2 linked regions of the Anolis sagrei genome follow. The protein of the gene in region 1 interacts with the protein of each later gene in a pairwise test. Links are inferred from orthologs where the notes say so. Each region holds a gene or a part of one and is shown in the gene's direction. Other genes may lie near its edges.

Region 1 (8,004 bases):
AAAGTACCGGGAAAACTAGGAATCTCCACAGGCTTTTGGAAGCATGACCCTTTCGGAAATTAATTGGTTTTCACACTGTTTGGAAAGGCATGACCTTGTTAGAGATTATAACCTTTTTGTAAAGTATGATCTTCCTGAGAAGAGTTAAAAATATGCTTGAATCAGTCTTCTCCCTAGTAGTAAATATACACTAGTATTTATGCAAGGCAATTTAGGCTTCCTAGCTGTTAGGCTGATATACCTGGTTCTCTCTCTGAACTGTTAGGAACAAAGATATGCCAATGCATCAATATAGCAGCTCATCGGAAGTGTTATTTTCAATAGCCCAAAAATATATCTACTTTCCCATAAAATATATTGCTTTTAAATCATACTTTCAAGAGACCAAAAAATAAAGTAGTCTTTGTTAAAAGTTAACATATTTTATTTACTTACAAACTTCATGTATTTAGCATACAGGTACATTGCTTATTGGTTTCATGTTAACTGAATTATATTTAAAACTGTACTATACTGTACATCTGCTGCAAACAGACTCATATATTAATTGACACCTCACTTCAGCATACTATCTACACTCCTGCTCTAACTGACATTTACTGTCTCAACTAACTTCTAACTCCCAACTGACTCGACGTTGTACCCCAGATAGAGTTCACCTTGCCATTAGCACAAACCAGAAATCCAAAAGCAGTAGTAAAATACCAGTCGGATGAGAGCACATATAAAAAGGGGAAAATCCCCCAAAGGAGTAAGAAAGGCAAAATCCAACAGATAATCAGAAAAGGTAGTCAATATATAAAAACCCAACCAAGCTGGTGAGGAGTAAAACACTTCAAAGGCAATAATCCAAATGGTACAGGAAAACAAGAATCATAATATAAACATGAATCCAGAAAAACCATGGCTATAAGAACTTAAAACATGAATCAAAACACCCAGGAACCTGAACTGGAAACATGACTTGACATCCTTACTATTAAGCAGCGTTGCCTGATCTGAACTCTCAATGAGACACTATCTAATTTAAGAGCTGCAAAACATGAAGGCATTTTTGACCTTGAGGTTCTGGCTTGTGAAACTTTGCCTGTGCATCTTTCTCAATTATTCTTTTGGATTTCCCGCACCTGATGTTTTTTTCCCTTAAGTTCCAGCCTGATATCCCTGTCTAACTCAACTGTTCTCTTGGATGAGCTATCTTGGTCTGCTAGGTCTTTATCAGGAGTTGCTATGCTCCTTGTGGGTGAAAGGTCTTCTCCCTGTCTGCTGGACTCCAAAACAGTTCCACTTTCAAACTCATTCACCACTCCCTCAGGCTCTGAAACCCCAATCCCCTCACCACAACACTCAAGCCTCAACTGACTTCTGACTTCTCAACTGTGGTGTTCCACAGGGTTCAGTCTTGTCCCTCATGTTGTTTAACATCTACATGAATGTGCTAGGTGAGATCATCTGGAGTTTTGGAGTTCAATGCCATCTGTACGCAGATGATGTCCAACTGCACTCCTTTCCACCAGATGCTAAGGAGGCTGCCCAGGTCGTGAACCAATGCCTAGCTGCTGTGACAGTCTGGATGAGGGCGAAAAATTTGAAGTTGAATCCAGACAAGACAGAGGTCCTCCTGGTCATTTGCAAGGATGGGGTTACATTCCCTCTGAAGGCGCAGGTTCGCAGCTTGGGAGTTCTCCTGGACTCATTGCTGAGCCTGGAGCTTCAGGTTTCGACGGTGACTAGGGGGGCTTTCGTACAATTAAAACTTGTGTGGCAGTTGCACCCATACCTTGGAAAGTCAGACTTGGCTATGGTGGTCCACGCTCTCTTTACATCCAGGATAGACTACTGCAATGCACTCTACATGGGGTTGCCTTTGAAGACTATTTGGAAGCTTCAAATAGTCCAACAAGAGGCAGCCAGGTTAATAACTTGGCACACAACTCCCATGTTACGTCAGCTCCACTGGCTGCCTGTTTGCTACCGGGCACAATTCAAAGTGCTGGCTTTGGCCTACAAAGCCCTAAACACCCTGGTCCAGTTTACCAGTCTGAATGCATCTCCCTTTATGAACCAACATGAAGACTAAGATCTTCTGGGGAGGCCCCGCTCTTGGTCCTGCCTCTGTCACAGGCGTGTTTGGCGGGGATGAGAGAGAAGGCCTTCTCAGTTATTGCCACCCGGCTATGGAATTCCCTTCCTGATGAGATTAGATCAGCCCCCTCTCTTCTGTCCTTCAGAAAGATGCTAAAGACCTGGTTGTAGGACCAAGCCTTTGGGGCAGTGCAATGATGCAACAATAGGGAACTTCACTGACCAGGGCCAGCATGGTGTCTCGAGACGGTTTTGAACAGCTGATTTAAAAGTAGATATGAATGATTTTAATGTTTGTGTATATTTATAGTTATTTTATGTCCCGGCATGGAATATTTGCTGTTGAGTCCCCTTCAGGGTGAGAAGGGTAGAATACAAATGTTTCAAAGAATAATAATAATTCTAACTGACTTAACTGACTCCAACAGACTTCTGATTCAAACGCATTCTGAAATGGAGTCCCACTCTGAACACTCTAAGAACAGGGTCACGTGATCTCTAGTCCCTCCCACAACCTCTAACAACATAGAGTTAAGGGCAAAACTGCATACCAATATATACATACAATATAGCCAGCAATCTCAATTATATACAAAAACAAATATCTAGTGTAGGAAACTGGTAGGAGATTGCTATTTTCAACATGTAGTGGGGGAAGGATAACAGAATAGAAAAAAGGTATAAGAGAGGAGAGGAAAGTATGAGAAAGGAAGGAAGGAAGAAAGGAATGAAAGAAGGGCGGGAAGAAAGAAAAAAGTGAAGAGAAAGGAAAAAAGGAAGAGGGGAGGGGAGGATAGTAAAGAAAGGAAGAGAAGAAAGAAGCATGAGGGGGAAAAAAGGAAGAGCAAGCAAATAAAAGCGAAGATGTATGAGAAAAAGCAAGAGAAGAAGGAAAGGGAGATGGACAAGGCATATGAGGCAAAAGGAAGAAGAAAAGAAAAAGCCACAAAGAAAATGCAAATATATATGGGAGTATGTTGTCAAAGGCTTTGATGGCCGGAATCACTGGTTTGCTATGAATTTTCTGGGCAGTACAGCCCTGTTCCAGAAGCATTTTCTCTTGATGTTTCGCCCACATCTATGGCAGGCACTATTTATTTATTTTAATTATTTTGAATGTTTTTACCCTGCCCTTCTCAACCTCAACTCAGGGCAGCTTCCAACTGGCAACAATTCGATGCCGCATAATAAAATACAAAACACCAATAATTATAATAGTTAAAAGCATAAAAACATAAAACATTAAAACAATATACTTAGAGTCCACTGAGTTATTACCAGTCTGGTGGTCATTTAACTAGCTGTATACTATGATTGAGTACTCTGTTTAACTTATCCATAATCCATTTCCAAGCCATTGTCAACATTGTCAATTGTCATTTCTGCTTAATTACCCGAAGGCTTGGTCCCACATCCACGTTTTTATCTTCTTTCTAAAGGTGAGGAGGGATGATGATGACCTAATTTCCCCGGGGAGTGAATTCCACAGGCGGGGGGCCACCACCGAGAAGGCCCTGTCCCTCATCTCCACCAAACGTGTTTGAGACAGAGGCGGGGCCGAGAGCAGAGCCTGCCCAGAAGATCTTAAACTCCAAGGTGGGATGTAGGAGATACTTTCGGACAGGTACGCTGGACCAGAGCTGTATATTGTTTTGAGGATGTGTACCTCACAATCTCTGAGGATACCTAGAATAATAGAATCATACAGTTGGAAGAGACCTCATGGGCCATCCAGTCCAACCCCCTGCCAAGAAGCAGGAATATTGCATTCAAAGCACCCCCCAACTGATGGCCATCCAGCCTGTTTAAAAGCCTCCAAAGATGAGGGCAAAATGTCAGGAGAGAATGCTTCCAGAAAATTGCCATACAGCCCGGAAAACTCACAGCAATCCAATATACACAAGTAGGTTTTTTTAATTTCAGAAATTGATTGTGAAAAAAGCATTTTATTGCCATTGTTATTAGCATTATTAAAGAATCAGTCGTAGAAATAAAAAAAAACTTTACTTCAGCTGCGGATGAACTATACAAAAACCAAGTCTGAGTTCCTTAGAAACAAGGAGAAACCAGTCATCCTGGCTACAGACACAAATATATAACTCGGCTGCTTTTTCTGGGATTGTTTCACTGATTGATGTATCAAAGCACATTAATAGCTAGACAGAAGTGAACTTAAATGTACAGACTTTCTGTATTTTTGAAGGGCCAAACAGAGAAAGCTGGGGGTGAAGTCTCCATATCTTCCTTTGTGGCCTAAGTCTAAGAGAACAGTTCATTGTTCCACAAAGCCGGTCCCGCCTCTTGCCTGTCCAGTTGGAAGTTAGTATTCTTTAAACAAAAATACGCTACAGAGAGTGCGGAGTTGTGCTCCTTCCCAGCAGTTCCTACGCCGGAAACTAGTTTCTTTACGCTAAAACCGGCACAGGGAGCTTACGCAGATTGCGGAGGCGGTTGTGTTTCTTCCGGGGTTCGATGATTCGAGAATAGGCAGAAAGGTGGCGTTAGCCTGGACTTTGTCAGCGTATCTTAGGGGCAACTTGGCGAAAGTGCCGTTGAATGCGCAATTAGCGCACAATTGGCTATTCAGAGACGCGCTTTACGCAAGAGTGGGCTGGGCTGATAACGTAAAGTGAGGCGAGCTCGGGCGGCGGCGGCCATTTTGTGTCAGCAGGCCGGAGAAGAAAGACAGGGGAGGTTCTCCTCAGCGGCGCCTGGCTCGAGTCGGCCCGGAATTTGACCCCAAGCGCCTCTCGAGTCAAGGAAATAAAGCTCCGAAGGCTGCTTCTGAAAGGATTTAGACAGAAGCTGCTTGTTGGTTCCTTCGAGGCCGGCCTGTTGTCCTTTTCTCAACCCCCGCGCCGGCGACTGACTCTCGGCCTTCGAGGATGCGAGGCTTCGGGGACCGAGGCCGCGACCGAGACCGCGGCGGGTGAGTGGATGAGGCCTAGCAAAGGACGCCACGCGAAAGCTCCCTTTAGGGGGCCTCCCAGGCTGAACGTTAGGCCTTTCTTGGTCACTATCAAAGCAGAGGGAAATAAGGGGTCGTCTACACTGTCGATTTAATCCAGTTTGCGTCACTATTGCTGTGGAATCCAGGGATTTGTCGCACTCTCCCCCCCCCCCCCGGCTATGTCCCTGGAGAAACTACAGCGCCCAAAGAATAATAATAATAATCATACAAATACAATATATACCATTATTATTATTATTATTATTATTATTATTATTCTTTGGGCGTTGTAGTTTCTCCAGGGAATAATAATAATAATAATGGTATATATTGTATTTGTATGATTATTATTATTATTCTTTGGGCGCTGTAGTTTTATTATTATTATTATTATTATTATTATTCTTTGGGCGTTGTAGTTTCTCCAGGGAATAATAATAATAATAATGGTATATATTGTATTTGTATGATTATTATTATTATTATTCTTTGGGCGTTGTAGTTTCTCCAGGGAATAATAATAATAATAATAATGGTATATATTTATTATTATATAATAATAATAATTATTATTATTATTCCCTGGAGAAACTACAACGCCCAAAGAAGAAGAAGAATAATCATACAAATACAATATACACCATTATTATTATTATTCCCTGGAGAAACTACAATGCCCAAAGAATAATAATAATAATTCTTATTCCCTGGAGAAACTACAATGCCAATTATTATTATTATTATTATTTGGCATTGTAGTTTCTCCAGGGATTTAGCCCTGGAGAGACTAATAATAAAAAACCACACTTTAAACATAAATCATATTAAAAACAGTGCATCAGCAAATATCAAAACAGTTAGAAGGCGCGTTTACAATAAAATTAAACTAGCTTCATCTGCTCTGGCTCAATGTTATGGTATCCAGGGAGTTGTAGTTCTATAAAGGGATTTCCAGCCAAAGAGGGGTTGGTGCCTCTGCAGCTGCTACAATTCTATAGCATTGAGCCCTGGCAGTTGAAGTTTTGTCAAACTCTAAAGTAGGTAGGGAGCCAACTTGGGCCCTCCAGGTGTTTTGGACTCCAACTCCCACCATTCCTAACAGCCTCAGGCCCCTTCCTTTTCCCCCTCAGCCGCTTAAGCAGGAAAGGGCCTGAGGCTGTTAGGAATGGTGGGAGTTGAAGTCCAAAACACCTGGAGGGCCCGAGTTTGCCCACATCCGCTCTACAATGTAAGTCAGTTGAGGTCACACTTACAATAAACTTTATTTATATCCCATCCTCTCTCCCCAAGGTCTCATGGCGGCTCACAATGGACTCTTTTAAGTCACAATACTGTGGACTCTTTTAAGTCACATTATGAATTATGACTTTGAATCTTGTGTTGTGTTAATGTACTGATATGTTTACTATTTTTTCTGCTTTTCTCCTGATTTTAATGTATGGTGTATATTGTATTTGTATGATTATGTTTGTTATGGCATTGAATTATTGCCAATCTGGAAGCCGCTCTGAGTCCCCTTTGGAGTGAGATAGAGTGGGGTAAAAATATAGAAAATTATAAGCAGAAGACATCATGTACAACCTATAATCATAAACCAAAAGTTTGAAAAACGAATCACAATAAAATAAATGTACTTCTAAAGTGCCATCTACACTAGTGGTTCTCAACCTATGGGTCCCCAGGTGTTATGGCCTACAACTCCCAAAAATCCCAGGCAGTTTACCAGCTGTTAGGATTTCTTGGAGTTGAAGGCCAAAACATCTGGGGACCCAGAAGTTGAGAACCACTGATCAACACTGACCATTTAAGGCAGTTTGGATTCTATTTATCTCCTAATATATCAAGTTAGAATTGCAGCCTAGTTGTTTTGGAACTCATAAAATTTCTTTCTGGATCAGAAAAAAATATGTATTGTGACATTCCTGAAAATGGCCTAGCCTTAGGCTGAATCTTTATTCAGCAGGATTTGGAAAATCACAAGACAGTGAATGATACCTTTCTGAATGGGAGCAACGAGATTTTATTATGCTTTTAAGTAATTATTTTATATTGCTTTCATTTATTAACTTTGGTTAGTTATTATAAGTGATGTTATCGTATTATTGGTTTGAATTGGTTTGTGTGTTTTCATTAATGGCATTGAATGTTTGCCACTTTTTTGTGTGGAAACTACCCTGAGTCCACTTGGGGAGATAGAGCAGATTATAAATAAAGTGTTGTTGTTGTTAGATACACAACAAGATTAGTACACAGCAAATAAGATCACTAAGCTGACTTTTATATTTGATCACACGTCAAGACACTTCCCAAGTGTCTAGAACTGTGTAATGTATTGGGGTTTTGTTTTGTTTTTTTGCCGTGTCAGGAGCGACTTGAGAAACTGTAAGTTGCTTTTGACGTGAGAGAATTGGACGTCTGCAAGGACGTTGCCCAGGGGACGCCTGGATGTTTTGATGTTTTATCATCCTTGTTGGGAGGGTTCTCTCATATCCCTGCATGAGGAGCTGGAGCTGATAGAGGGAGCTCATCCGCATTCTCCTGGGGTTTGAACCTGCGACCTATCAGTCTTTAGCCCTGTCAGCACAAGGGTTTAACCCACTGCGCCACCGGGGGCTCCTAATTGTATTGGTGAATAATGTGTACAAATCCAGGTAGGGTGGCCTCCTGACAATTTTGTCAGCGCAGATTGTTTTTAAGTGCAGGCCAAGGTCTTTGGCACTGCACCAGGAAGGGGCATTATTATTATCTGCAATGACCACCTAAATCATTTTCAAACCATTATTTGCTGTGTAGATTATTAAATAAGAAAGCCTAGGTTCCAGTTTGATGCCCCGATGGTGAATGCCCAAACTGATGCCATATGGAAGGGTGCGGAATTAGTAGGGGTTGACACAGCTTGCACTGCTATGGAATTGTGTTAATTGCCACTTTGCAAGGTCTTTAGCCTTCTCTGCCAAAGAGTGCTACCA
Region 2 (8,586 bases), on another chromosome or scaffold:
TCGTCCATTCTTGGTTAGTCCTGGAGGCAGACCCTTATGGGGGACCCTTCAGTTGGGATTTCCTGGTTTAGTTGCCCAGACGGATGCTCTTGCTAGGGGAACATTTATTTATTTATTATTTACTGTATTTGTATACCACCTTTCTCAGCCAATCGGCGACTCAAGGCGGTTTCCAACAAATCAGTACATATAAAAACATAATGCAGATTAAAACATTGAACAATATAAAACACCACAAAAGCAATAAAAACAACATCATTAGCGTCTCATTATTATCAAGCATTGTCCAGTTCTATTGTCAAATCGTTTGATTTCCTATATTAGCTACTCTGCATTTGTAAACGCTAGCTCGAACAGCCATGTTTTAACTTGCCTCCAAAATGTTGAGGGAGGGAGCAGATCTAATCTCCCTAGGGAGGATGTCCCATAGCCAAGGGGCCACCACTGAGAAGGCCCTGTCTCTCATCCCCGCCAAACGTACTTGGGACCGGGAGCAGGGCATCTCCAGACAATCTTAAGAGTCCTCAATGATTCATAAGGGGAGACACGTTTGGACAGGTAAGTTGGACCAGAACCGTTTATGGCTTTATAGGCCAAAACCAGCACTTTGAATTGGGCCCGGTGGCAAACCAGCAGCCAGTGGAGCTGGCGCAACAAGGGAGTTGTATGCTCCCTGTGATGTCTCGGCCTGTTTATTTCTCAGTTGGACTGTTCCATTTTACCAAGTTTAGGGGAGAGCTTAGGTTCCCCCTAGAGGCCGAGTTCGGTTGGTGCAGCCCATTCTGACTCAGAGCCAAAATGGGCTGGTTATAGAACTTCGTTTCCCATTCTTTGTTGGTCATAGCTAATAGACAGTTGCCAGATAGTGTCTGGTCTGGCCTAGCAATTTGAACAGGCCATCCTAATCACGTACTTGCCCTATAGATAGAGAGTTCATAGATAGTTTGCCATAGAATAGATAGTATTTGCCTTAAAGTTAATAACACATATTTGCCTTATAGTTTATAGATTTTATATATTTCATAGATAATACACATATGCCAAAGTTTATAGATTACAGATAGTTTATAGTTATACAAACCCAGAGTTCATAGTTGTACATGCTATAGTCTATAGTTATACATTCCCCTATAGTTAATAGTTATATTTGCTTTATAGATTATAGATCAGAATATACTTGCCATAGTTATATTTACCTCACAAAATAGTAATTTGTTACCTCAGAGTTATATTATCATAATCAATTCTCACCTTTGTTCATTGTTGTTATTCACCTTAATTATTCAGTAAACTCAATTTGGTTAACTTAATCTTGTCTATAGAGTTTTATTTTGGGGGAATTATAGTAATTAGGGCATACCGATGGTCACTGGGGAAATAGCCAGACACATTTAGGTTTCTCATTAGATCTTCCTGGTGTGCCATCACACTCCCTGAGCGCCGCTCCTGTAAGCAATCTGGCTGCTGTTTGTTGGACTCATTGAAACTTCTGGACCGTCTTCAAAGGCAACCCCATGTAGACAGCATTGCAGTAGTCTATACAGGATGTAACCAGAGCATGGACTACCGTGGCCAAGTCAGACTGCCCACGGCACGGGCGCAGCTGGCGCACAAGTTTTAACTGTGCAAATGCTCCCTTGGTCACTGCCGAAACCTGAGGTTCCAGGCTCAGCAATAAATCCAGGATCACACCCAAGCTGCGAACCTGCATCTTCAGGGGGAGTGTAACCACATCCAACACAGGCTGTAACCCTATGCCCTGTTCGGCCTTGCGGCTGACCAGGAATACCTCTGTCTTGTCTGGATTCAATTTCAATTTGTTTGCTCTCATTCAGACCGTCACAGCAGCCAAGCACCGGTTCAGGACCTGTACAGCCTCCTTAGTAGCGGGTGACAGAGGAGTTGTGGTTCCTATGAAGCTTTTCCTTGATTTGAGTCTACTGGGAGGAGGCTGATAGCCATGCAGTGGGTGGCTTTAAGTGTTCAACCTTATTTCTCTCACAGTTAGCAGCAACTTCCCGTTGCACATTGAGTGGGGAGGGGGGGCAATGCCAGCTAGCTTGTAGAGTTTATCAACAAGTGTAGGTTTGAGACATCCTGTGATTATTCTGCATGTTTCATTCTGTGCTATGTTCATCTGCTTCACATAAACAGACTTATGCAAGCAGGGCAGGCATACTCAGTTGAGTAAGACAAGGCCGGAACTGATGTTCTTATTAATTTTGGGTCTGTTCCCCATGCACTGCCAGTAAGTTTCCACACGATGTTATTGTGTGGGGCTGCTTTGTGCTTGGTGTTCATGTAGTGTTTCCTAAATGTTAGTGTTCAATCTAAGATGATGCCAAGATATTTAGGATGGAAACGGTGTTTGACCTCTTGGTCTTCCCGCGTAACTTTCAATTTCCTGCTAGCTTCGTGGTTCTGTAGGTGGAAAGCACACAATTGTGTCTTGGCAAAGTTAGGCTCCAGGTGTTTATCATTATAATAGCTGGAGAGATCTTTCAAGGCATTAGTAAGTTGGTTTCTGACTGTTTCAGTTTTTTTGCTTGTGTTGTTATGCCAAGGTCATCAGCATATATAAAGCTCTTTGAAAGTGGTGGCTATGGCTGATCGTTAGTAAAGATGTTAAACAAGGTTGGTGCAAGAATGCTGCCTTGGAGTGAACCATTCTTTTGCCTCCCCCATCTACTTTTCCTGCCTTGAAATTCCACAAAGACGCTGCAGTTTTCTAGAAGGATCTGGATCGTTTTTGTGAAATCAAAGTTCCAGGTAATATGGTAGATTTTATGCAACATATTTCTATGTTGCACCGTGGCATAGGCTGCTGTTAAGGTCCACAAAATTATTCCCATAATTGTTCATAAATCAACAGATTTACCTACCTCCACAACATGTTCGTAATACTTGTGGAGACAATTCTACACCACCCTGCTGCTTTCAGATACCAATTCAGTTATAACCCATAATGTTGCAAAGTTCTGTGCAGCAGCAATTAAAATCTGCTATATAATGACTGGCTCCAAAAGTTAGCAATCTAACCATCTGCTAACTAAAATATAAATTAGTGCCCTCCTCCCCTAGACTTGTGCCCTGAATGTTCCTAGGCCCCTCCCATCAATTTTCCTCTCTCTCCATCCCATGCTAGACCCTTCCCCTTTTGTTTAGGAAACTAAGCTGGAATAATAAGAAACACCATGTTTATGGACAGGAACAAACTGCAATATAATGACATGCCACAAGAATGTGAATGCATATTATTGTTGTTTTAAACTCTTTATTTTATAATATTTTATACTTATCATTGGTGTATTTGGATTGTTGTTTACATGATTTTAATATGTTGTAAGTTGCTTTGGGTCCCATGAGGGAGAAAAGCAGGATATAAAGATTTATTATTATTATCACCATCATCATCATCATCATATTATTATTATTATTCTAGATAATTTTGTGCTGCAGCCTTCAACATACCTGTTTTCTAGACTTTTAGATTTTGATGTACAATGCTTTTATGAGACTGTAACCCTCTCCTCATGCTGGCCTATGACCATAATAAAGATTTGTGTGTATGATAATGTCGAGATCCAAGTCTCACTATGCAATAATAAGATAAGGGGAGAATCATTACTGTTTTGAAAGTGTTGTTTCCTGTATAATTGTGTGGTGCTTCCTTTGAAAGTAGTTGTTATACTCCAGAAACTCCATTTCTGTGGCTGCCACAAACTATGTTGAATTTGTTGAGTCTCTATGGACCCTTCCACACAGCCCTATATCCCAGAATATCAAGGCAGAAAATCCCACATTATGTGAGTGTGGACTCAGATAACCCGATCAAGGCAGATACTGAGGGCTTTTCTGCCTTGATATTCTGGGATATAGGGTTGTGTGGAAGGGCCCTCAGATAAGCCAGTTCAAAGCAGATATTGTGGGATTTTCTGCCTTGATATTCTGGGATATAGGGCTGTGTGGAAGAGCCTTCAGACAAGCCAGTGCAACGCAGATATTGTGGGCTTTTCTGCCTTGATATTCTGGGATATAGGGCTGTGTGGAAGAGCTCTGAGATAAGCCAGTTCAAAGCAGATATTGTGGGATTTTCTGCTTTGATATTCTGGAATATAGAGCTTTGTGGAAGGGCCCTATGGGGTATTAATTGAAAAACTGTTGCAACATGTGCTGCACGAAGTCCCACAAAAACAAAGTTTTTGCAGGTTAATAAACCTTTACCATGTTTTTATGATAGGACCAATTAGGAAACAACATTGATAACAGAGGAACAAAAATGCTGTTGCATAGTGGTGAATTTTTTCCAGAGGCCTCCTGGGACCAGCTTGGAAGCGGTTGATGCAATAGTGTCATTGGAAAGTTGAGTTCCTGTATTAACAATGGTGCTGTTGGGTGCCACGAGGCCCAATCTTGTTCCCAGAACAGTGAACCCATTGGCGTCTGCTGGGACGTGGGCCGAGGACCCTCGGGGGTAACAAAATCTGTGGGTGGGCAAGCTCCATTTCGTGTAATGGTGTAGTAAAATGGTGTCTCAGCTATAAAATGAGAGCAACCAAGGTTTGGCTTCAGGAACCCTTATATGGTTCATAGATTCATGCTGGTGTGTGGCTGAGGCTGGAACATAGGCATGGGCAAAGCTGGGCCCTCCAGGTGTTTTGGACTTCAACTCCCAGAATTCCTGACAGCCTCAGGTCCTTTCCTTTTCCCCCTCAGCCGCTTAAGCGGAAGGGGGAAAAGGAAGGGGCCTGAGGCTGTCAGGAATTCTGGGAGTTGAAGTCCAAAACACTTGGAGGGCCCAGCTTTGCAAATGCCTGCTGTGGCCCTTCCCGCCAGCCGCCCAGTCCGCCCGCGCCAAGGCCCTTTCCTCAACTCCCCTGGAAGAGCAGCGTGACGTCAATCGAGGCCGCGCTCCTCTCGTGCCCCGGAGAAGGCCAAGGAAGCAGGCCTCGCCTCAGCCTCCGCCAGATTACCTCACCGTCCAATCAGCTCACGGCACCCCAATCCCAGTCACCCGTTGGGACGGTTGCGATAGGCATGGCCACCATCCAATCAAATTAAAGCTGCTTGCGCGAGCTCCTCAGCCTCCCACCCCTCCCTGGAATTTTAAAAAACCAAAACCCAATAGCCAATGAACGCTACGGATACGGCTGTGAGAGAAATAAGGAAAGATTGACAGCACTCTTGTCCAACCCAAATGGAGAAACGGATTTAGTTACCCAGGCAATGGGTCTATGGGATGGCGGAGTTAGCGTTCCTCTCAACCCAACTTTTCCGAGCGACAAAAGGAAGGCCGATACAGGAAAAGGCGGGCTTTCCGCTTCCGGAGCATCGCACCGCCTGGTGCTTCCTCCCCCCACCACCACCACCGCCTCGCTTTAGATTGACAGGCGCTTCGTGCAATGAGGATGCCGAGGCGAGCGGAGAGGGCCCAATGGCGCCCGCATGGGCGGGGTTCCGAGCCTGCAGGAGATTCCAAGATGGCGGCGGGGGCTGCGTGAGGCGCGGTACTGGGCGCGCGCTTCCCTCTCGCTGGCGCCCGCCGCCATGAAGGGCAAGGAGCGTTCCCCGGCCAAGGCCAAGCGCTCCCGGGGCGGAGGGAGCAGCAGCGGCGGCGGTGGCGGCGACGACTCCTCCTCCTCCGTGCGAGGCGAGCGGAGCAGTAAGAAGCCGAGCAACGGCGGCGGGAAGTCGGCGGGCGGTGGCTCTGGAGAGGGCGGGAGCAGCAGCAGCAGCAGCCGCCGGGGCCTCCACTTGGAGAAGGCCAGCCGGGCCAGCAGCCGCGAGTACGAGGCGGTGACGGGGAGCGGCGGCGGCCGACATGGCTACAGCAACAGCAGCAGCAAGAACGCGGAGTCGTCGTCGTCCTCGCGGGGCAGCAGCAGCCGAGGCGGAGGAGGAGGCGGAGGAGGAGGAGGGGATTCCCGGGCGCCCCCTTCAGACTCCGGCGGCGGCAGTGAGTACAAGACGCTCAAGATCAGTGAGCTGGGCAACGCGCTGAGCGACGAGGCCATCGAGGACGGGCTCTTCCACGAGTTCAAGCGCTTCGGGGATGTGAGTGTCAAGATCAGCCGCCTCCCGCCCGGGACAGGCGCTGCCGACGAGAGGGTGGCCTTCGTCAACTTCCGCCGCCCGGAGGACGCCCGCGCCGCCAAGCACGCCCGAGGCCGCCTGGTCCTCTATGACAGGCCCCTGAAGATTGAGGCCGTCTATGTGGGCAGCGGGGCAAGCGGGCGGCGAAGGAGCAGCCGCTCCCCAGCCATCCTAGATAAGGACTCCCCTTACGGAGCCGCGGGCGTGGGCGTAGCGGGCGCCGCTCCCGCCGCCCTCAGGCACCCTCCGGCTGCCGCTCAGAGGGCCCTCTCTCCCGCCGGCGGAGGGGCCGGCCTGGGCTACAGGGACTTCCGGCTGCAGCAGCTGGCCCTGGGCCGCCTGCCTCCCCCGCCACTGCCCCGTGAGCTGGAGAGGGAGCGGGACTATGGGGGCTTCTACGACCGGGTCCGACCCGCCTACAGCCTGGAGCGTGTGGCTGGAGTGGCTGCGGCGGCTGCCTTCCGCGGAGTGGGCGGCACAGGGACGGCCAGCGAGGAGGAGATCAGCCCCGAAGACGACCAGCGGGCCAACCGCACACTCTTCCTGGGCAACCTGGACATCTCGGTGACCGAGTCGGACCTCCAGAGGGCTTTTGATCGCTTTGGGGTGATCACGGAGGTGGATATCAAGCGGCCGTCCCGAGGACAGACGAGTACTTATGGCTTTCTCAAGTTTGAAAATTTGGATATGGCCCATCGGGCTAAGCTCGCCATGTCAGGCAAAGTGCTGCTGTGTAATCCTATCAAAATTGGCTATGGCAAGGCCACCCCCACCACGCGGCTCTGGGTCGGTGGGCTGGGGCCTTGGGTGCCGCTAGCCGCCCTTGCCAGGGAATTTGACCGTTTTGGTACTATCCGCACCATTGACTATCGGAAAGGGGATTCCTGGGCCTACATCCAGTATGAGAGTTTGGATGCTGCCCAGGCTGCTTGTACTCACATGCGTGGCTTCCCCTTGGGTGGACCGGACCGCCGTTTGAGGGTGGACTTTGCTGACACAGAGCATCACTATCAGCAGCCCTATTTGCAGCCCTTGCCGCTTCCGCCCCCTGGCCATTATGAGTTGGTAGCAGAGACATCTGCCTTTGGGGCGCATCGTGGTGCACCACCTGATCCACTCCGAGGTGCACGGGATAGGACCCCACCACTGCTGTATGACCGTGACAGAGATTTATATCCTGAAACAGAGTGGGTTCCTCCCCCACCTCCAGTTCGAGACCGGGGCAACAGAGCAACTGTCTATGATGCACTTGAGAGCCTGGAACGCAGGCGAGACGGTTGGTCTCTAGAGAGAACTCGCGGGGAAAGGGAGTTAGGCGGTGGCAGCAGGGACCCACCCAGGAAGCGAAGACTGGTGGAGGATGGGGGACGGCATTTGGACCGTTCGCCTGATAGCGAACGGTCATCTTCTTCCCGCAAACGGCATTGCCCTACTGCAGCTTCTCCACAAGATCGTAGTCCTGAGCCTGGCATAGGCAGAGACCGCTATGGGAGTGATGCAGAACGGTCATCTTCCCGTTTGCTCCTGCTGGATCGCCATTCACCCATCAGAGAGTCACGTAGGGGTAGCTTGGAGAGAGGCCAAAATGAGAAGCGTGAGCACAAGAGTTCGGTAGAAAGGGAACGAAAACATCGCACCCTCGCAGTAGCTGCGGCTCAAGAGTGCAAGAGCCCAGCTAAAAAAGATGAACATGTCTCTGAAGGGAGCAGTGGCGGAGGATCACGCTTGAAACCTCCCCCTCAAAAGCAGCAACAGCAGGATGGAGGCTCAAAGTCTGGGTCATCCCCCAAACTCTGCCTGGCTTGGCAAGGAATGCTTTTGTTGAAGAACAGCAACTTCCCGTCTAACATGCACCTACTTCAAGGAGATCTGAGTGTGGCCAGCAGTCTCCTGGTAGAAGGAGCAACTGGTGGCAAAGTGGCCCAGCTAAAAATCACCCAGCGACTCCGTCTGGACCAGCCTAAATTGGATGAAGTTACTCGTCGCATCAAAGTGGCAGGGCCTAATGGATATGCTATTCTTCTGGCTGTGCCTGGAACCACAGACAACCGTGCCTCATCTGGGGCTGGTGATGCTAACACCACCTCCACACAGCGACCACTCAGAAACCTGGTGTCCTATCTCAAACAAAAACAGGCAGCTGGAGTGATAAGCCTCCCAGTAGGAGGCAACAAAGACAAAGAAAACAGCGGGGTCTTGCATGCTTTCCCACCTTGTGATTTTTCTCAGCAGTTCCTGGATACTACAGCCAAGGCCCTGGCTAAGTCAGAGGATGACTATTTGGTCATGATCATTGTCCGTGGTGCATCTTAAAGCCGTAACGCTTTCTGTGCTCTGTCCTGCTGCTTCATACAGCCTCCCCTGTTCCAGTGTCTGCCAGGTGCTATGCGATAAGCCTTAGCCAGCCCCCAAAGTATAATTTTAATTAGAGCCATAGCTGATGTTATCTCCCTATAACTTTCTTTAAATTCTTTAGAAGGCAGACATATTAAC

The links. The genes of interacting proteins can lie anywhere in the genome.
Region 2: the proteins of DDX17 (region 1) and RBM15 interact in binary tests that used the Homo sapiens proteins (3 or more experiments, as listed by UniProt). The link is inferred for Anolis sagrei from reciprocal best matches to the Homo sapiens genes DDX17 and RBM15.

The regions. Positions count from the first base shown.
Region 1 is NC_090025.1:163,996,555-164,004,558, forward strand, and holds the start of DDX17 (probable ATP-dependent RNA helicase DDX17), read left to right. Parts: upstream 1-4,722; 5' UTR 4,723-4,970; coding exon 4,971-5,014; intron 5,015-8,004. UniProt on the Homo sapiens protein: As an RNA helicase, unwinds RNA and alters RNA structures through ATP binding and hydrolysis.
Region 2 is NC_090024.1:183,681,997-183,690,582, reverse strand, and holds the start of RBM15 (RNA-binding protein 15), read left to right. Parts: upstream 1-5,279; 5' UTR 5,280-5,445; coding exon 5,446-8,406; 3' UTR 8,407-8,586. UniProt on the Homo sapiens protein: RNA-binding protein that acts as a key regulator of N6-methyladenosine (m6A) methylation of RNAs, thereby regulating different processes, such as hematopoietic cell homeostasis, alternative splicing of mRNAs and X chromosome inactivation mediated by Xist RNA.